Linked DNA regions of Drosophila melanogaster. Each later gene encodes a partner of the first gene's protein in a complex. Each region holds a gene or a part of one and is shown on either strand. Other genes may lie near its edges.

What was found. Proteins that work in one complex are often made in the same cells at the same time.
Region 2: Nup93-1 (region 1) and Nup214 share a complex: the UniProt entries of both Drosophila melanogaster proteins name them as parts of the nuclear pore complex.
Region 3: Nup93-1 (region 1) and Nup205 share a complex: the UniProt entries of both Drosophila melanogaster proteins name them as parts of the nuclear pore complex.

The regions. Positions count from the first base shown.
Region 1 is NC_004354.4:13,821,100-13,826,413, reverse strand, and holds Nup93-1 (nucleoporin 93kD-1), read right to left. Parts: upstream 3,589-5,314; 5' UTR 3,488-3,588; coding exon 3,327-3,487; intron 3,264-3,326; coding exon 3,083-3,263; intron 3,004-3,082; coding exon 2,200-3,003; intron 2,127-2,199; coding exon 1,498-2,126; intron 1,414-1,497; coding exon 717-1,413; 3' UTR 504-716; downstream 1-503. Other genes in the region: Clic (chloride intracellular channel), read left to right, coding at 4,406-4,489. UniProt on the Drosophila melanogaster protein: Required for nuclear pore complex assembly, maintenance and function. Required for nuclear import of phosphorylated Mad via importin msk. Has no role in classical nuclear localization signal (cNLS)-dependent nuclear import via importin-beta.
Region 2 is NT_033778.4:22,918,705-22,926,277, forward strand, and holds Nup214 (nucleoporin 214kD), read right to left. Parts: upstream 6,039-7,573; 5' UTR 5,951-6,038; coding exon 5,915-5,950; intron 5,859-5,914; coding exon 5,720-5,858; intron 5,661-5,719; coding exon 3,928-5,660; intron 3,875-3,927; coding exon 3,693-3,874; intron 3,636-3,692; coding exon 3,294-3,635; intron 3,238-3,293; coding exon 2,042-3,237; intron 1,944-2,041; coding exon 461-1,943; intron 368-460; coding exon 343-367; 3' UTR 233-342; downstream 1-232. Other genes in the region: CG30187 (uncharacterized protein), read right to left, coding at 1-68. UniProt on the Drosophila melanogaster protein: Part of the nuclear pore complex. Serves as a docking site in the receptor-mediated import of substrates across the nuclear pore complex including emb, RanGAP and phosphorylated Mad. Protects mbo/Nup88 from proteasomal degradation at the nuclear pore.
Region 3 is NC_004354.4:19,850,242-19,858,251, forward strand, and holds the start of Nup205 (nucleoporin 205kD), read left to right. Parts: upstream 1-1,972; 5' UTR 1,973-2,106; coding exon 2,107-2,328; intron 2,329-2,407; coding exon 2,408-2,731; intron 2,732-2,818; coding exon 2,819-2,920; intron 2,921-3,010; coding exon 3,011-3,573; intron 3,574-3,637; coding exon 3,638-4,138; intron 4,139-4,194; coding exon 4,195-5,746; intron 5,747-5,846; coding exon 5,847-7,231; intron 7,232-7,294; coding exon 7,295-8,010. Other genes in the region: pico, read right to left, coding at 622-771. UniProt on the Drosophila melanogaster protein: Plays a role in the nuclear pore complex (NPC) assembly and maintenance, but with limited role in NPC permeability. Required for specific nuclear import pathways such as Mad import.

The DNA.
Region 1 (5,314 bases):
CGACTGAGTGGCGCACAAAACCAGAACAAACTATCGCAATCAACTTATTCCAATTAACAATATTATCTTAAATAGACAGAAGTGAAAACAAATGCATTTATACGAAACGAGGGCCAAGCTAATGGCTTTTTTTTTTCTTCATTTTTATGGCAGTGTACTAGGATCTCGAAACGGATCTGTTAGAAACTATGTAATGGATTCCTAAAATCTCCGACAGTTGGCAGCCATTGTTGGCAATACTATTTTGATACAAGTATATTGATGTGTTCTTCATATGTATGTCCTGGGGTGTTCCTGAGACCTCTTGAGGTTTCAATGCAATAGCAAACGGTGTCTCAAATTATGCAATAAAATACTTAATACTTCTTATCTGAAAGTCTTTTGTGGATATTCCAGTGGGTTAGTGGCTTGTTGTGATACATACCATACATTCGGTTATTAAGTAGCGAAAATGCAAAATTTTAATTGTTTGCCTAAACCGTGAGTAATTAACATATACGTGTGACATTTTGAATTTTGTTTAGTTTTCTTATAACACATACATACAAAATATTTTCTTTTAAATTTTTCGAATGCTTAATGCTTTAAATGCGTTGCGCTTAACAGAAAAATTCCAATAAAATTATTGGAAAGAAAAAAATATAATCATCAATAAAATTTTAAACGAACTGAATGAAATGCATATAAACGATAACTAGGTATTAATCTGGCTAATGTTAGTGCATAAGGATCTCCAGCTGGACGAGCCGCTGGTTGGTGGTCGATGGCATTCGGTATGGAACGCTGGCAGCCATGTTGGTGAATGCCTTGGCCCTGTCTCGCAAATGTTTCACGGCGGGCTCCTTATTGACGCACTTGCTTTCATCAAAGAAACCGGAAGCTGTTTCATTCGAGTCCATTAGCTTCACATACTCCTGGTATACAATGTCCATGGACGCCAGCAGGATATCGGGCAGCACTTTAATGACCTCGGGACCCATCCGCTTTATGTTCGTCACACACTCGTCCACTTCCAATGAGCTGGCGGGTATCAGATGATTGTTGGTCAGGATTTCTAATGCCGAACGCAATGCGCCTTCGTGATAGTGGTCAAAGAACTTCATGACCTTTGTCAGCACCGTATATGTGACAACAACTTGAACCTCTACGTCCGATTTACGCACGACCAGCGCCGCATCTAGTCGATTGATAATATCGCCCAGCCGGTTACGCACGCTTCCATTCTGCGTTGGTTGGTGGACCACCTGTGCCAGTAGCGAGTTCACCAAACGCAGTGCCTTGTCCAGCTGGCCACCAATAAAGTAGAGCTCGATGGCCAATTCGTAGTCGCCGCGTTTCGACAACTCATCGCCCACCATTTCGGCCAGAGAGTACTTATCGCATTCATGAATTTGAAATTCCGCATATATGCCGCTAAATAAAGGGGAATGAATAAACCATTAGCTATTTGCCAAAAGGATTTTGAAATCTTTTAAGAGTACCAAAAACGTAACATACCCATAGCGCAAGCCGTTTTTCTTATCCTCCGTCCCGAAAATCAGCTCTAGCATTTCGTCGTCGCATTTCTCAACTAGCAGATCGCAGACGCAGGTGAGCATCACGTTGCCGCGTCCGTTCTCGGATTTAAAGTTGCGCAACAGGTAATAGTAATGCAGCGCCTGCGTGGTGTCCGTTCTCTCAAAGCACTTGGTGTACATGACGATCAGACGCACAAGATTGAGTCGTTTCATTGGTTTTGGGTCGTCAGGGTCGGAGCTCAGAAGGGATTGTTCCACGGAACGTGGTGTTCCCAGCATGGATATCTCGTTTAGGGCAATGGCCATGTGGATAGCGTGCGTTCGATTTTTCTCGGTGCGGGCGAGGAATTCAATGGCGGCCTCAAATTGGCCGGTAAGCGTCAGCACCTGGAAGTATAGCGCCGCCTTCTCGCGCGCATTGAAGTAGTTCTCGCCGTACTTTTCTAAAATGAGCGATTGCAGGCCGCTGAACGTTAGCTGCTCCGTGTTGCTGTCGCTTTGGTCCGACCTGCGCAGAATGGACAGTTGCATCCACAGGAAGTCGTCGATGCTGCGCATTAGTTCTACGTGAGTGAAGTGCGGATCACACGCCAACAATACGACGTATACCTAATGGAAAAGAGAAAAACATATGATTAGCACGAATATACGCAACAAGTTGTAGCAAAAGATGAGCACTCACCGCCTTTTTGTAGGGATCCGTACAGGCGCGCAGTCTACTGTTGTACTCCAACTTTAGCTGACCCTCAAGCTTTACCATCAAGTTGTCCCTATCGCCGTTCTTTCGCAACGTCAATAGCGTAAGCAGGTCGGGGCAGGTTCCCGATTCCTTGAGATACAACGCAGCCGCGTCCATATCGCCACTCCGCAAGCTATAGTAAACATGTGGCCACAATGGCTGGCCATTGTTCACGTCATGCAGCCCGTAGAGGGCTCGCTGCCCCTGGAGAGTAACGCCCACATAGGAGCGGACCATATGGTACACGCTGGGGATTCCTCCCCGCCGCGCTTTGGCCAAATTCGCGACGATAAACTTTCTCATATACGTCCTATATCTGCGCTCCAAGTACGTGCGGGCCTGCTCAACGAATTGCGGTGATGTCTGACGATTCTTGATTGGATCGATGGTGCTCGAGACTGGCGGCAACGCGGTCATAAACTGCAATACATTCCACATCTCGGCTACGGACTCATCGTTGAAGGAGTCTTGGACCACGTGGGCAAGGGTCGACAGCAAGTTAGGGCGTCTGCCCAGGATGATCGACTGGTTGTGGATGGCGATCTGTTCAGCGTACATCTGCTCATGGCCATTCAGTTGGGAGTACGGAGTGGGCTCATCAGCCATGGCCGTGGGCACTATCTGAAACTGGACGTCGGGGAAGTCCTGTTGGTTTGGTCCGACCAGAGCGTTTAGCAGCGCTTCCTTCTCCTCGCCCCACTCCGAGTAGATGCAACGCCACTTCTGTCGCTCCACAGATTTAAATATCTGCAATGGATTGGTTAATGGAGATAGAAAGTTCAGAATTTTGGGTGTCTGCCTGAAGCATGTCATTTGGCGCACTCACACTGCGATTCGTCTCATCGATAACTGAGAGTATGGCGTTCTCCCGCTCGTTCTTCAGATAGGCCTGCACATTGGTCTCCGTCACCGGATCAATCGGCTCGAAGGTTTGGCGGGCGCTGAGCGACTCCAGCTTCTGTGTAAGCTTGGGCAGGTCCACGCCCTTAGAGCCGAGCAGTATGTGGCTGCATTTGAATGACCGGTTAATATGACAATTTTTGGCGCCTGGCCTATAGCGAACTACTCACGCCTGCAGATCATTGGTGCCCATTTGGGTGACACGCGAGTGAAACTCCTTGGTTGCCTGCAGAACCTGGGACATGGTCCGTTCCACGCCCGGCACCTCCGTGTCCGTATTGGTCTCGTTCGTCAGGCGCTGGGCCTGCTTCAGCAGTTCCATCAGATCCATGTCGTGATATTGGGATGGAAAAGCCGGTGCCAATAAAATGATATTTCCAACGAAGCGCACACCAAGCTGCTAGTGCTGCCACCTGGTCGCAGTCCGGATTATTTCGGCGCCATAAAATGTTTGCAATCGGTGGTATTCTTTTTGGTATATTTAATAGTACAACTGTTATATGTTAGAATAACTATAATAATGTCTACAGATGGTATATAATTTAAAAGGAATATTTGATAATTAAAATCATTAAATTGAAAAATTTATATAGATAGCAGACTAAGAAATTATTTCTCAATACCTAAAAGTTGTTATAAAAACAAAGAAAATAGTCGATTTCCCCGAACGCGAAATTTCAAAATTTTTATGGAATATCGATATATTGGGGAATAAATTGAGAACAAATGGGAGTTTTGTAGGTATAAGGTATTTTTGGTATTACGCAATCTGTTATTGAAATGTCCCAATAACAACTGTTATTGAGAGGGAGTTGTAAGTACAACTTTAAAAACATTTGGTATTAGCTTGGTATTTATAGGCCGGCCGAAAGGCAGGACCGTCTGGTAACACTGAACAGCAGGCGTTAGTGTATTTCGCGCAGTGCAGATTGGTTTATTCAGCGGCTAACCAATTCAATCGTGAATAGACTTTAGCAGCGCGCAAATCGTAGAACAGAACGGCATATTTTTTTTAAACACTGCGAGGCGAGCTTCTTCTTCCCTCCGTCTCTCTGTGTGTGTGTGAGTGTGCTGCCTGTGTGTGTTACAGCTTGTGTACGTGAGTGTGTGTATTGGCAAAGGAAATTAGCACAACAAAAGCGAAAAGGAAACGAACACGCACGCACCTCGTCACGCGGATAAAGAAAAAAACTCTTCGATCTGATCAGAGATATCGAGAATAAACGATAAAAATAATAACAATATCGCAATGTCGGAAGTTGAATCGCAGCAGAGCCAGGAGACGAACGGCAGCAGTAAATTCGATGTGCCCGAGATAGAATTGATCATAAAGGTGAGCGAACAGCGACATTTGCATACCCCTGCAGTTTTCCATTTCGCTCTGCGCAAATTTCCGTGCAGAGTGAAAATGCAGCCGGGGCAAAAGCAGAAGCAAATGCAAACAAAGGCAAAAACAAGAAGCGACTGGGAAAACGCGAACTGCCGTTTGTTTCTCCTCCTCCTCCCTCTTTTCGGCTTCTTACCCCTGTTCGTTCTTCGTTGTCTTCTTCTTCTTCTTCTCACTGTGGCACTTTGCAGTGTGTCACATTTGGTTAAAACGAACAGAATACGTTTAGCACACACCGCCCCCTCCCCTCTCGCCGACGTTCCCCTTTCGCCTTGCGGTTCCTAAGCATCGCCAAAACCGGTTTTCTCCTTTTCTCCCTATCGCACATTCACACACACATACACACACACATACACACACACGCACGCACACTATCGCATACACATGCATTCGGGCACATCTGCACAGAACGAAATTGTTGATTGAGTTATGATTTTCAGAACTCCATGATTACCATTATAAAGCATCCAAATTAAATATTACAGCATACCTTTTTGGTGCAATACTCTAAAGCCGCCCTTTTTCCAAATTATCCGAGCATACCAAGCTGTTCATATGAAATATCTTTTTAATATTTTATAATTAACAATTAATCATGATATTGCTGTGTGCGCACAGTCTGAAATTTGTGGAACGTAACATATTACTTCGGTTCTTATCTGCTAAAAAATTTAATCACATTTCATTGCGCCAATTGCTCAACAAATGCTCCTTCATCATAGTTCTCCTAAGCCCCCCGCATCGCCCCCCTTCGCAACCATCAGCATGTTT
Region 2 (7,573 bases), on another chromosome or scaffold:
AAGATTGAAGCACCCACATCTTTGAGGAACCAAAAAATGACGGGAATCCAAGCCAGACGTGTCTGCATCTCATGAGATGTTCGAATGAAATAGGTGATAACCTTAGCATGAGCATAATACCATAGCAAGTATTTCATAAAAAAAGAAACCCTTATCATACTAGACTATAAATACTAAATAAAGTTCAGTACACACATTTCGCGTGAAGTAAAAACACAGTTTTTTTTTTTTTAATTTTAATAAAGATTTAAGATTTAAGATTTTTAATTTTAACTGGTATTCTTATTTCATGAAAACTGAACAAGCAAAACTATTGAGTTATGCAACACATTTATTATGAACTCAACGATAATTCATAAAGCTCGATCTGAAATAGTAAAATTTAATATTTCGTTAGTCGTATGCATTCTTGGAAATACTTATATAAGTATGCATATGTATGTATGTCGGTCGAACTTACCCGCCAAACGCTGGTTTCTGTGCATTTGAGTTTCCAGTCTGTGCTAGATTTCCGAAAGAGAGTCCCGATTCCTGTCCCCCCAACGTTTCAAAAATGTTTCCCTGTGCCGGCTTTGCAGCAGCACCAAAGGGTGGAGGGGAGGCTACTGGGCTGGCACCGCCAAATCCACCGAAACCCTTCGGACTGCCAAAGGTGGCACCTCCCCCAAAAGTGGGGCTAGCTCCAAAGGCCGGGGATCCACCGAAAACGGGCTTGGCTCCAAACCCACCTGGTGTCGTAGTTTGCTGCTGCGGGGCTTGTGGTGAGCCAAAACCTGTCTGGGCCACAGATCCACCCCCGCCCTGGCCAAATCCACCACCGAAGCCCCCCTGAGCTGGTGTCGTCTGCGTGAAGGAGCCAAATCCACCAGAGCTGCTGCCACCCCCAAAGATCGATCCGCCAGATGCGGGCGGAGCTGTTGCTGGTGATCCGAAAATAGAGTTTCCTCCGCCACCAAAAGGAGAAGCTTGCGGACTGCCGACGGGATTGGAGAATATATTCCCACCTGCTGCCGGTGCAGCCGCTGATGATTGACCAAACACTTTTTGGCCAAAAATTGAAGTACTTCCTGCAGCCGGAGCGCCGACTGCGCCCTGCGTATTACCTCCTCCAAAAATTGAGCTGGATCCAAAAGGTGTACTGGCGGATCCGCCACCAAAAATAGATCCTCCGCTATCGCCTGCTTGTGCTGGTTGTCCAAAGACACTTGGCTTAACAGCCTGACCAAAAATGTTACCGCCAGAGGCTGGTGCTCTAGTCGTGGGACTACCAAACGGCGAAGGGTTACTAATCGCGGCCGATGCAAAGAGACCCGCTGGTGGTGCATCTGGTGTTGCCGCAGCCGTGGTGTTTGAAGGAGCAGTTGTAGCTCCTCCGAAAACGCTGGTCTCCGCCTTAGGTATACTGCCAAAAATGTTTGCACTCGAAACTGGACTTTTTGCAGCTGACTGAAAGGGACTAGCCACTGGAGCCGCTGTTGATGTTGCTACTGCGAAGCCACCACCAAACACTGAATTCGACGAGTTATTGCCTGTAGATGTAGCGGTTGGGCTTTTGGCAGCTAAGGGAGCTGAAGCGCTGGTAGTTGGAGCTGCAGCACCTCCCGCACTTAGGGTGCTAAATGCGTTTGAGAAGGAGAACGCACTGCCGGGAACAGCAGTGCTAGATGTTACCGTTGTGCTCGATGTTGCCGGAACTGCTGCGGTAACTGCCGCAGGAACTACTGCTGGACTAGACACAGTCGTCGTAGCAGTAGTAGTCGAAATGGCTGATGGGGTGGTTGAAATAGGATCAGTTTTGTTGTTCGCCTCCGTCACACTTGTGGGAGCTGTTGCCACTGGTTTGGTACTGCCGAATAATCCCTTTGAGGCATCAATCGTTCCGCCAAATGAAAAGCTACCAGCGGATAAACCTCCTCCAAAAATGTTGGCTGGTTTGGTGGTATCTGCAAAGTAAAAGACATATATAGCCGTTTAGAGTTTATGCCAAATAAGCGTATACATTTATGCGTAAGGTATATTGATAAAGGAAACTATAGCTTACCTGCAGGAGTGTTGGGCTTGCAGATAGTCACAGAGCTAAAGAGGCCTCCAATAGGATCCGTGCTGCTGGTCACTGCATTTGTTGTGGTGACGGAAGGAGCATCAGTTACGCTGCTCGAAGCAATTACATTCGTAGGCTTGCTGGTGATGGTGGTTGTGTTGCTAGTGACCGTGGTGATCGGTTCAGAGTTGGATGGTTTCGCCAAAGCTGCTGAGAAGATGCCAAATGGTGCAGTTGAAGCTGATGTGGCTACACTAGTGGTTGCTGTGCTGGAAGGTTCAGATTTTGGCACAGCAGCGGCTGTTCCTCCGAAGCCTAGAGATGAACCCAGTCCGCCAAAGCTGAACGGGGAGCTGGAAGTATTTCCGACAGTACCTCCAGTTCCTGTAAATCCTCCAAATCCAAAGGATTTGTTTTCCGTCTCTGCCTTTGGTTTTTGGGGTACTTTTGACTCTTCTGTTTCGGGTTGTACCGCCTTGAATTCTTTGCTTTCTGCTGCTTTCTGCTCTTTGGGCTTAGTCGGCTCGGGTGTTGGTTTTTCGACCGCTGACAACGGGTTTGGTTTTGGTGTAGGAGCTGCCACGGCTGGCGATCCTGTTCCGAATGAGAGTGCCGACTTGGCAGCACCACCACCAAAACTAAAGCTGGAAATAGTACTGCCGCCGAAAATGGATAAACCCGGCTTGGCTGCTTCGCCAGGAGTCACAGTATTTGTCGTTGGCGTCACAGTAGATGTCTTCACAAATGGGATGCTTTGGCTGAAGGAAAATGGCGTAGCCACTGGAGTTGTCGGATGTGTGGGCACTCCAGGCTTTTCCACAACGGACGGTATAGATGGCATTGGTTTAGGCAGCGGAGGAGCCACTGTAACAGTTGCTTGTGGCATGGGTGCAACAGCTGGCGTGGGTGCAACATCTGGTGGTGAAGGCGGAGCGACTGCTGCTTGGGTGTATTTGTTGGCTGTTGCAGGCTTGGCTGCTGCCCTTTTAATTTGCTCCGCCCTACGTTTCGTTTCCAAAATAACCTCCGACTTGAGCCCCACTCGATCTGGTCGCTGGGGACAAATAACATTGATCTTCTGCAGCTGAACAATATTACGGATTTTTTGTAGTCTTTCTCGAGTGAGCTTGGCTGCATTAGAGTCCACTACCTGGCTAAGACTCATCGTGAGAATGGAGTCGGTCAATGTATCCACTCTAAATAAAAAAGTTATAGTCGCATAAAGAGAGAGGTCACAATAACTTCTACTAACGCTTCGTTGGTGCGGGTGCGACTTTTCTCCTGGTCGAGCAGTGCGGCCTGAAGCAATCCGCGCTCCTTCAGTTTGGACTTGATGTTGTTCTGTACAATTCGCTGGTTAGAAGTTAGATTTTGTAGTCTTGTCAGTCGTTGATAGATTCCCTCTAGGCAAGGCATGTGCATGCGAGACTTCGAATTGCGCCGCACAACATCCTGAAACTGTTCCCACTGCAAATCGACATGCTGCTGGGCAAGACGCAGCTGGGCCTCATTGGCAGCCACGTAGCTCTGAAGACGAGCTAGCATGCGACGGCCAGAGGGATCACAGGAGCTTGAGTTCATTAAACGCGTAATCCTAAACGAAAATTACGGGTTTTAAATAGCTTATATATTCAAAGAGTCCTTTACCCACTCTGGTTTTCTATAAATCTCCAGTTTCCCGCGGCACTCTGCTACGATGGCATAGGCCTCATTAAGACCCTGTCGCAATCCCTGTACATCTAACTCGAACTCCACATCCTTGGCTTGTTCATTGAGCTCTTGGAGGTCATCCAGTCTCTTTGCGTATGCCCTCAAAGCAGATGGTGCTGCAATCTGCGGAATAACAACTTTAATACATGAAGCAGTGTAATACCAACACTACTTACGCCTTTGAGGAGTTCCTTCGTCTGTTCCTTTTGCTTTTGGATATCCTTGCTAAAGGCTTCGATTTGTAGGGCAATCATGTCCTTGATAATAGGCTCAGTGTCATCAGGCTTAAGACTTTCATCTGCGATTTGTGGAGGAGCTGAAGTGGCTGGTTTTGTGTCCACTGGTGTGAATGTTAAAGGAACCGTGTACAGTGGTTTGTTTGCTGGAGCAGAAGCAGGAGTTGCGGGTACTGTTGACCCAGGTGCCGCTGTTCGGGGTGTCACACTGGCAATAGCCGGTTTATTCAATGCCATTCCCCCAAAGGCATTTGCTCCTGAAGCCGAAAACATGCTTCCCATGGCAGTAGTCGTTGCCTGCGTGCCAAACCCACCAAACGGTGTTGTTGGCTTGGCTGCATTGGTAGTTGGAGCACCAAACGAAACCGGACTAGAAGTCGGAGCAGTACCAAAAGATAGTTGCGGAGCAGGTGCCTTAGCTGCAGCTGCTCCAAAGCCAGAAAACAATGATGGTTGCTTATCCTTCGAGGGAGCTGGGGTTGAAGTAACGGTATTCGGTGTAAATGCAAAGGATATGTCCGAGGAAGCAGCAGGAGTTGCAGCTGGAGCCTTGGAGGGACTGGCTGCCCAAGCTGGCTGCTCTTCTTCCTCACTAGCAAGCAGCATATTCAACGGCTTGAACTGCCCAGAAGTATCGGCCACTGGAGGAGGTGGCGAACAAACAGACACCGCCGTCGGCAGCACATTAAGAAAGTTGAACGAGAGCAATTCTCCATCCGAACTCAAAACATGAACCATGGGCATAGTCTGCAGCTTCTTCTCATTTATCGTCAGCTGGTGCGTTGTAGAAGTGTCGAAGGCAAAGCCCAGCGGGAAGGTCTCATCCTTGTCCTCACTTAGGGGCATTTCAATGCGTGCCTCATCCAGCAATGTAAGCTGCTGCCAAGCGGGTGTATCGCCGGCCTCGGTTGACCGCATGATGCCCACCTCTACGCCATTGGCCGAGACTACGAGCAGCAGATTCCACTGGGGCACATGGCTAAATACGAACTGATGATTCCTCGGGCCGTTCATGCTATAGCAGATGTCATAGTAGTTTATGTAGCTGGGCGCACCAGCCTTGGGAGCATTTAGAATGTAAAGCGAGGGGCTACAGTCCTCGCCATGCTGGAGAAAGATCACTGCAAACTGGAAAGTCGACAGCCACTGTATAGCAATGGTGTCAAAGGGGGCATCATGTATATTCGGAGGACACAAAAGCGTCTTGGCCAGAGTCAGATCCGGCTTGAACTGCTTCACCGTGCCGCCGGGAAAACCAAGAACGATCTGTTTGCCCTTGGGCGACCAGCAGCCGCACTTAACTTGTTGATTTTTGTCCAGCGAGTGCATTTCAAAGTTTCCCCCCTCCTTCAGGGCATACATCGCGAGCGCTCCGTTGCTCAAAACAACGGCCAGGCTGTTGGGCAGCACGGGATTCCAGAGGAGCTGGACGCCGTGCACGTGATCCTCGGCGGCGAGGCGAATATTATAAACAGGACGTACATCAGGGGTCATGAACGATAGCACCGCATATATGCTGAGCAGGCTGGTGCCGTTCTGGGTGTGATTCACGGCCAGCAGGTTGCCATCGGAGCTGCAGGCAATGTAATTCGGAATACTGGGCAGTGGCACCAGACGCGCCTGCGGCTGTTGGGCTGTGCTCTTCGCATTGACCAAATCCTTTACAATAATCACTGCAAGGAGTGCCAGGATAAATTTATATATTTAGCCTAGCTAACTCAAGCTACATTACCTTTGAGTTCCGGCTGCGTTGGACTCCCGGCAAAGAGCAATCCCCGGCTACTGGAGACCGCCAGCAGGTTCACATTGCTGCGGGGCTCACCGCATTTTTTGAACGCAACAATCTTGTGGTGCAGTTTGAATTGAAAGTCCTGCGACCAAAACCAATGGAATGTTTGACATCTCAGTGCTATGCAATTGTGCTTACCTGCGTGTCCTCGCAGTCTGGTGCATTCTGCGCCATTTTTGTCTGTTTTCGCTCCTATTTCGCCAAATTTTTTGCGGCTTGTCGATTTCCCAATCGAGTCGATGGTGTGGCTGCAAGTTGAGATCGTTGGAAACGTTGGCAAGCAAAAAGCGCGCCACTTGCAGTACGGTCACTTTCAGGAAACTCACCACAAAAACTCACCACCAAAAAATCCAACAACATATACAATACAATCTGATTTAAATTTCATAGATGTTCCTTTAAAAAGAAAATGGGATAAAATCTTATATAAAAATAGTTTTCTCCTATAACTAACTGATGAACTTGTTAACTAAAAGAAACCAACTTAGCTTGAATTAAGTATTCACCAATCTTGTCTTAGCGGTTGACCATATGGCAATTGCACTTTGTTGGTATTTTTTCAGACGGTATTTTGTTTTGGACAGTATGTGCGAGAACGAAAATTTCAGCACATCGCTAGCGCAGCAGCCTTGTTGTTGTTCGTCTGTCTCTGTCCTACAAGCGTTTCTTTTTGTTTGCTGAGAATTAAACAAAAGCGATTTGTTCGCGGGCAATGCGAATGCATTTGCAAAGCAGGGCACAAAGCATCGGCTGTTTCGACTGTGATTGCACAAAGCCATGTAGTAGAGGTCGAGCTGGCGATTCGCAATTATCCACAGGCGACGCAACACGGTGCTAAAAATTGCGTAGCCAATTAATCTCGAAATCCTTCGAATTCAATCGCAGTTACCAAAAAGTAAATGAAATTTAAATCGACTTAAACAGAAATCTGTGGATTTTATTTCGATATTGCCCATAAAGTACCCCAAATCACATAATTTACGGAAAAGTCAAGGAAATTCCAGGTGAAAATTGGGGTTGGAAAGGAGGCCAGGATAACGGAGTGGACTCTAATTAAATACCCTACAGTTTTCCCCTAGAGCAGCCAGGCGACGCTCAAGATGATCAGCAGCCTGTTTTCGCGGCTTATAATGTGAGTAATAACCGATTACTACTATAGCAAATCCCGACTTCATAGCCACCGCAAGTGAGTGTGAGTGCGAGTGAGAGCGCTACAGCTGCTGACCCCCAAAAAAAAACAAAACTAACTTTTCAAGCTCGGCCTTCGAAAGCGAGAAAAGCACCTACGAAGCCCGTCGTCGTTTCCTAATTGTGTGGGCGTCACGCTTCTGATTTCTAAGTTTTATACATTTCCGTGGTTCCTCGATTCGCTGATTGCCGGATTGTTTGTTTATTAATCAGCTGTCGCAAAGTACCGTTCACTTGTGCGCGAGTGTGCGCGGCCTGTGTGTGTAACCCTCGATTGAACTCCTAATTTGGAGTTGCAACTTTCCAAGCTTCTGCGTCTCTGTGTTCCCGAGGCCGACGCACTCGCCTCGCCCGATTTGGGTGCAGAACATGTGGATATAGCCTGTCGGCGACCCGGCGACTCTCTGTGACTCCGCTATTGTTGTCAATATTTATAGATCGCAACTCGACGCTTGCCCATAGTGTGGCACAGTCGCGGCCAAGTAGCTAGCACCTCATTTGTTCAAGCACACAATACCTCCGTTAGCATTTTCCATTATGTCAATACATCTTAACTTCGAACTAGACTTTACTTTTGATAATGAAATTAGTAATCGGTTCAAATCAATA
Region 3 (8,010 bases), 6.0 Mb from region 1:
AGTAATGGGGCAAGAACGGAGAAAGAGGCGCAAGAGAGAGCGAAAAAGTTAGTACACCAATTAATGGGTCGGCATTCTGTTGGACTTGAAAGCATTGAGCACTTTTTGTGGTCGTTTTTGCCCCAGCAGCTGGTCCAAAGATTAATCATTCCGCTCTCTGCGTTTGCTTTTATTAATTCTCCTTTGACCCATCGAATGGGGGGAGTGGTAAAGTTTTAAGTTTCTATATTATCAAACTATAGGAAACTATATCCATGATACTAGTTGGGCAGTCTCAACTTTGGAGTACCGAATTTGAAGTCTTTTGATCACCTAGCACTGCATAACTAGGTTATTTTCATAGCCAAGGAGTAAAGTATACTGAATACACTCGAAAAAAAAAACACTAATAGAGAATTATAGTTAATACAATTACCAACCATATGTGAGTCTACCATTTGCACCGTTCTTACTATAATTTGAAGAAGCTGTACTTTAAAGGTATAGTTCAGTTTCTTCCTGTGTACTCTGTCCTATGACTTCTTTTTTTTTTGTGTGTGGGAGCGAATTATGAAGTACAGAGGAAATGGTCGAGCAACACAAACGCACACACACATTTGGAGAAACTTGGGAGATACTTACATTTGTTATTGTTGCTGCTTCCTCGAGGCTGTGCTGTTGTTGTTGCCGCTGCTGCTGGTGGTGTTGTTGTTGTAGCTGTTGCTGGAGTAAGTGCAGTTGTTGCTGTTGTAGTTGTTGTTGCTGATGTGCCGCAATACCACCACAATCCATAGTAATTACGGGTGCGAGGGGGCGGGGTTAAGTGTGTGTGGGAGTGGAGTGGAGTCGTCAATTGGGAGCGCACTCTCTATCTCTCTCTCTCTCTCTCCAAATCTCGCTCTCTGTATTGCTGCTCCTTCGCGCGATCGCTTACTGCAGCGGAATGAAAAGCGAAACAGACATAATTGAAGAAATGCGATAGCTCTCCGTCTTGAATTTCAACGATTCGCCGTAAGGGAGCGCTGTTAACCGCTATTTCAGTCACTGTTTGTGTCTTGTTCCTTTTTTTTATTTTTTTTTATTTTCAGCTAACTCTGCAGTTTGCCTTTGTCCATATTTTCGGTGGAAAAACCACTTCCTTGCTCTCTCGCTCTGGCTCCCTTGCTCTTCTATACCGCTCTCTCTCTCGCTCGCCAGGCGTTGCGTGGGCGAACGTAGGGGAGAGAGCAAGCGAAACGAAAAGAGAGAGGCGAACGCAGTTTGGAGTTTTATGCACTGGAGTTGTGAGTATGTTCGTGTGTGCCTGTGTGACTGCTACCCCCACACACTTGCACTGCCTCTCTTCCTCTCTGTCGCTCTCGCACACCCAGTACCAAGTACTCTGAACTCCAACTCCAGTTACAAATTCAATTCCAATTCGAATAATTCCCAATGAAATTTGAATTTTCCTTCCAATTGCACTGGCTTTGGCAGTTAGTATCCCTTTTGGCATTTATTGCAGCCGAACTGCGCCGATTGCATTTGCATTTACACTTCTACATCCACTTCCACATCCACTTGCATCGACAGCCAGAACCAGCATCCCACTATGGTGCAGTTCAGCCTGCCCGCGGCCATCGGTGATTCACTCACAATGCGAACAGGACACCACTTGGGCAGTGCGTTCGCTGGCCAAATCAAGTGGCGGAGAACAGAAAAAAAAAAAAACGCGAATCGGAACAAAACAAATGGATGCTACTATCGGGTAACTACGAAAAGTCCGTGCGTAGATTTTCACGAAAACGCCCCGCCCGCGCCGCACTGAAGTTGTGTTAGTTAGTGGTGCGACAACGCACCGATGCAGCGCCTCGATTATCGTTCGATAAGCATCGATTTTCCGATTGACTTGGTTCGAATCAACCGTTTAGCCAGCGCAGCAACCGCAGTTAGCGGGCACAAGCACCGAAGCGCGTACGAGCGTGGTGAGTTCGTACGGTGGTGAACATCTGTGTTTTCCAGTATTTGCAGCACCCAGCCCTGGTAACCGGCGCCTTGTCGCAAAGCGAAGCAATCTTGCCGCGTTTTATAGTCAATAACTGCGAATCAGCAAGAACTGCGTGAACTGAGCGAACCGCAAAACCAAGTGAAATGGATGGTGAGTGCCTGGCCAACGAGCAGATGTGCGTGGGTCGCCAAATCACTAATGCCACCCATGCGTCCACAGCTGTAATCGAGGACATGTGGACGCCGTACAAGCATTTGTACAACACTTTTCAGACCGCGGTGTCCAATCGCAGTGGCTTCACCTCGGATCTGGAGCAGTGCCTCAAGAAGTACAAGCACAACTTCAGCAACTTGCTGCGCAATCCGGTGGGTATAGCAAAACAAGCGCTTGCAGATCCGTAGATTTAACTAATTATTGATAATCCATTATTGAAAATGTCGGCAGCCGAGAAGCGAGAAGAGCCGCAATCTCCTACGAAATGCCCTCAACGAAGGCGTCCCGATGCAGGGGCATTCGCGAAAGACAAAGATGTCACAGGACCTGGCCGACGAGGCGGTCATTCTGTCCGACATGTTCGATCTGGACGAGGGTTTCGCCGTGGAGCTGCTGTGCACCGCACAGCGCCAGCAGAAGCATCATCCCGGCCTGTCCAGAGGCCTTGTCGCGGTGCTGCTCTACTACGATGGACGAAAGGCCATCAGCTGCACGCTTCGCGACATGTTCCAGGTGGTTAGCGGCGTCTCGTGGAACACCGAACTGCCCAAGGAGGTAAGTTTCGAGATTTCGACATCGCAGGCATCGCAGTGCCGCTGAAAGAGAGATTCACTGACCCTGATTATCGTTCTACGCACGCAGATCACCGGTCTGGTCACTAACTATGCCGAGAGCCTTGTCGACGGCTCTGGGATACTGGGACGCCTGCTGCAGCTGCTCGAGGAGATGGATGTCGACAAGGAGGTGGGTTTGTATGCGCCTGTTTCTGAAATTCTCTGAAATTGCATATCTTCCTTCGCAAATTGTTATTCATTTGTTGTCCAACGTTCGCAGTGCGCTATGCTGACCACAAACCGCGCGTTTGGCTCCAAGAAGCATCAGAACCAGGTGCTCGGCCTATACGAGGACATTCAACAGGCATTGGCAATGGCCCTGTTCAATTGGTCGGCACAACGCGGCCTGCCGCGACACATTGCCATTCGGCTGATGCACCAATTGGCCAACCGAAAGAACCACGACGCGGGCGGCAACATGGACGACGTGACCCTGATCATGCTGATGGCTCTGCTGTATGCGTACGATACCTCCATGCTGCTGGTCACCGAGGAACCCAATGAGCACACAACCCGACTTCCGATCTTCAGCGATCGCGAGTTCGCCGAGTGCTTCCTGGAGGAGCTGTACGCGCAGAGCAGCTGGCAAGCACCGCGCCTGAATGCCATCATTGCCTACAGCTTCGGACTAACGCTGGCCAGCCTGCGGCATGCACCTTTGCAGCTTCAGGCCACCGCCATCTCGATCATCAATCGCGATGAGATGCTCATCGACGAGGCACTGGGAGCGCAGGTATTCGTCTTCTTCCACAGCTTGCTGCTCGAGAAGGATCTGGTCTATAGGTGAGTACTGACAACTGAAGTGTCAATTGCCGATTCGCAAGCTAATCATCATTTGTGCTGACAGCACGCAGTTCTTCTACCGCCGCGTCCATCTGCTCATCACGGACTTCATCGACTTCATGAACTCCAAGGTGTCGGAGCTGCGCGGCCGAGCAGACGAGTCGTCACACACGATCATCAGCTTCCTAAACGAGGGTCTGGAACCGCCGCCCAACTTGGACTCCAACTTTGAGCTGCTCATGCTGTGCGTGGCCAAGATGCACGGCGATCCGCGCGTCACCATCAGGCTGTGCAACGAGTACTGGGGCCCCGGCGATCCCAACGGCTCTACGGCATTCAAGAACACCTCGCGCTCGGTGTCGCTGTTCAAGTTCATTAGCTTGGCCAGCGACCTGCTGCCACAGACGCTGTTCAAGGCCTACCTCAAGATGATATCCGGACTTACACGGACCGATTTCTCGGCTCGATGCGCCTTCAACATGCTTAGGGTGCCCCAGATGGCCACCGGCGGCAAGTATGCGGTTAGCTGGGATCACTTCTTCACCACCCTGGGCAACTACTATACGTAAGTGTGACTCAAATCTGGTATTGAAGATCTCTCTGAAGATCACTATCTTCTAGTTCGATGCGCAACGACTTTAACACCAACATCGGCATGAGCGGCGAGACCATTTACCGCACCCGATCGACACCAAAGGCCATTACGCAGCGAGAGGCGGAGCATCTGGTGGCCGTAATGGGCATCATACAGGCGGTGGCGGAACACGACGAGGTCTCGCGCATCATGATCTGTGACCATCCCAATTGGCAGACGCCGCAGGTGCTCCTGGGCCTGGTTGCGTGCGCCACGCCGCTTTTTTTGAAGGCGGAGATTCTGCACACGCTGGCTGCCCTGGCCAAATCGAAGGAGACGGCGCGCGTCATCTGGTTCCACCTGGAGGCCTCGCAGATTATACCCACTGTGCCCGTGTCTAGAAGCTATGCCCAGTGCAGTTTGTTGGAGGAGATGGAACAAATCGAGAGCCGTTCGGAGCAGTATAACCTGACGCGCGGCATCCTCCAATTGCTCTACACACTGATGACCACCAATCTGCCGAAGAGTTTGGGCGCCGGGCAACGGACACCGGCCTACGAAGGCTATCTAAAGTCCATGATAAATTCGGTGTTGCTCAAGTTTTACAATCGCGCGTACAAGGTTCCCTCCGAGAAGTGGCAAGTTGGCGCCCAGTGCCTGAAACTGCTCTACTACCTACTGGCCACCTATCGGCCGTCCGCAATGGATTTTCTGGAGACAGTCGATGAACCTCCCTATCCGGGCTTTCACGTTATGATGCAGCTGCAGCTGAAGTCCGAAATGTTGCAGCTGCTGCTGTGCATTGTGGAGGAGGTGCGTGAGCGGCTGGACAACTACAATCGCTTTCAGGGCAAGAAGCTACTCGAGGAGTGCTCATTGTACGCACTGCTGATCCTGGAAGCCGCATTGGCGAAACAGAACGCCTTCTTTGAGGCCCACTCGGCGGCCAATTGCCCCATTTTGCTGTCGGGCCTGAATCGCATGCTCCTGGATCTGAATCCACGCAGTCGCAAGCCCGATCACGTGCTGAATATCATTAAGTATGTAACCTATAATAGCTGGCTGCCGCGGCACGCCCTGGCCGCCATTAAGATTCTGGCTTCGGTCACCCAGCTGCCGAATGTCTCCACCCAGATTCTCAGCATGTACGGTCAGGGCAGCAATGAGAAGCTCGAGATTCGTCAGGGTTTCGTCGAGTGCCTGGAAATGGAGGTGTGCGTGGGCAAGCACGACGACGATTTGTTGGACCAACTGGCCCTCAACAATCACGTTCCGTATCTGGGATTCGGCGATGATCTGGACAATGAGCGAGAGATGAGCGGGGAACGCGAATATTCAACTATTGAATCGCAACTGGAGCTGCAGGCGGGGGATGGCGCGCTGGAGAGCAAACCGGCTAGCATTGAGCTGCAACTGAAAGAGGCCATTATCAAGCTGTTCGAGATGAATCTTAGCCAGCAGTTGCCCAACTTTGTGTACTTCCTGCTCGGCGTGGATGTGCTGCGCGAATTTATGGCCAACGGACGGCAGCACCTGGCCATCGAGATGCAAAGCTCGTGCGTGAACTCCGTAGTGCTGTTGCTGGAAAAGTACATGGATGTGAGTTGAAAGCCATTGGCCATTACTATCTATTCTAACTAACTAACTAACTAACTAACTTACCAACTTTTAACAATCAAATCAATCTCTGATATTGCAGAAACAGCGTCACAGCGATAAGTACTGCGAGCACACGGCGAGAATCGTGGAGCGCATTTACCATCTGTTCCATGGACTCTGCGCCAATCGCCGCACCGCGGAGACGATACTGCGCTACTTCCGGCTAACGTGCAGCGACTTCCTGCTGCGTCACCTACGCTCGCTGCCCTTCCGGCAGCATCGCGAGGATCATGTGCTGCACGCCATGGGCCACCTGCTCAACTGCGTCTCTATCGATGTCAAACTGGCGGCCAAACATGGCCAGATGACGCGCTTCAACCAGATGTGCGACATTTTGCTAATTGGAAACGGAATGGAGCGTTCATCCCATGGCCTGTCGATGGAATTGGGCCACAGCCTGATTTCACAGCCGTCGTCGTCTTTCCTCGCCATGGATGTGCTACCGGCCGGTGGATCGATAAGTGCCGTGGCACATGGGGCTGGTTCGGCGTCTCTCGGAGCTCCAAACACTGGGGTCAAATCACTTAAGCCATCGCTGCTGCAGGAGACATCGCAGGGACTGCATGTCACCCGACTGCTAGATATTCTCGTCCTGGAGGCGGGCACGTTGAGCCAGCCGCAGCTGGAGTTCTTCGACGGGCATCTGATCACTCAACTGCTGCGCGACTGCGAGGCATCCGCCGAAGCTGGCGCCAATTCCAGGGCCAACTTGATCAACGTGCGCAAACTGTACTACATTCTCACCGACGAGCTGTACATGGTGCAGAGCATCATTGCCAGCGGCCAGCGGAAGGCCATTTCCACGGAAATCATGCTGCTGCTCAATCACGCCGTCAACATAAATCGCGTGCGGACACAGCGCTGCGCCACGCTGGCCTTCATGGCAGCATGGGGTCAACTGGTGCAGGTGCTCTTTAGCAACATGCCCGATGCCGTGCTTCCGGCGACGCAGCGTCGCCAGCACATCATCGATATCGTCGAGAAGGTACTCATCAAGGTGCAGCCCATACAGCCCATCATCGAGATATCCGTACAGGTGAGCGAGACGGTGCTGCTGCTGCTTGCCAATTTGCGCTACTGCTGCTACCAGGCCGAGGACCAGAGCCCCGAGGATCTGGCCGCCGAGGATTCGCTCAGCAATGGCAATGGCAACGCCATCGGCAACGATTCGCAGGTGAACGCATTGTGTCTGGGCCAGAGGGCAATCGGAACTGGTTCGGATGGCGGCAGTGGAGGTGGACGGGATATCGGTTCCGGTGGCAACAGCAGCAATCTGCGATTCATTCTCAAGAACCTCGTCCAGTGGATCATGATCAGTGAGGTGAAGTCGCAGAAGCTGCGCATCAATCTGTACAGTTCGCTGCTGAATTGCCTGCGGATCGCGAAGCGACTGCGCACCGACGAGCATCTGGAGTACCAGGAGACGTAAGTGTATCCTTCTCAACAGCAGTAGCAGGCAGTTGTAGCTTTCATTCTATTTCATTGCAGATTGATTTCGCGCCAGGAGAGTGCACGCACGTACAACAAGGAGCAGCGGCGCGACGATCGCCTGCGGCTGAAGGCCATGGCGGCGGAAGTGATTGGCACGTTCGGCGAGAAGCTGATCGACACCATCTGCCACGATGCGGTGACCGGCCACGATGTGTGCCGCATGCTGGCGCTGGCCTGCCTGGACATGATCTCCGAGCTGCAGGCGGTGAGCACGCTATGCGACTTTGTGGCATCGCGTGGCTACCTCAAGCACATACTGGAAAGCCTTGATCAGTCCAGTACGGCGCTTTGCGGGATTCTGCAGCCCGTGCCGGATCACCTGAGGCCGCTCTACGTCTACGAGTCGCGCATGGCCTTCCTCACGCGCATGGCGAACAGCAATGTGGGAGCCCGGCTCCTCCTCACCGAGCAGGCGCTGGGCGTGCTTTCGAATATGAAGGTCTATGACCAGCAGCCCGACCTGAAGTCCAGCGAACTGAATCGTAACGAGCCGCAGACCTTCCTCCCGTCCATCGATGACCGCTTCCGGTCGATCCTCCTGCCGGCGCTGAGCCTCTGCGATGCCATTGTCAACTCGCTGGGTCCGCGCAACAACTCCGCCGCCGTGCAGGTGCTTAACTTTCTGTTCGCCCACATCGACATGGTCGAGGCCATGTTGCGCTCGGCCACGCCGTATATGGACCTCGGCCACCTGCAGCAGGTGGCGGTCATTA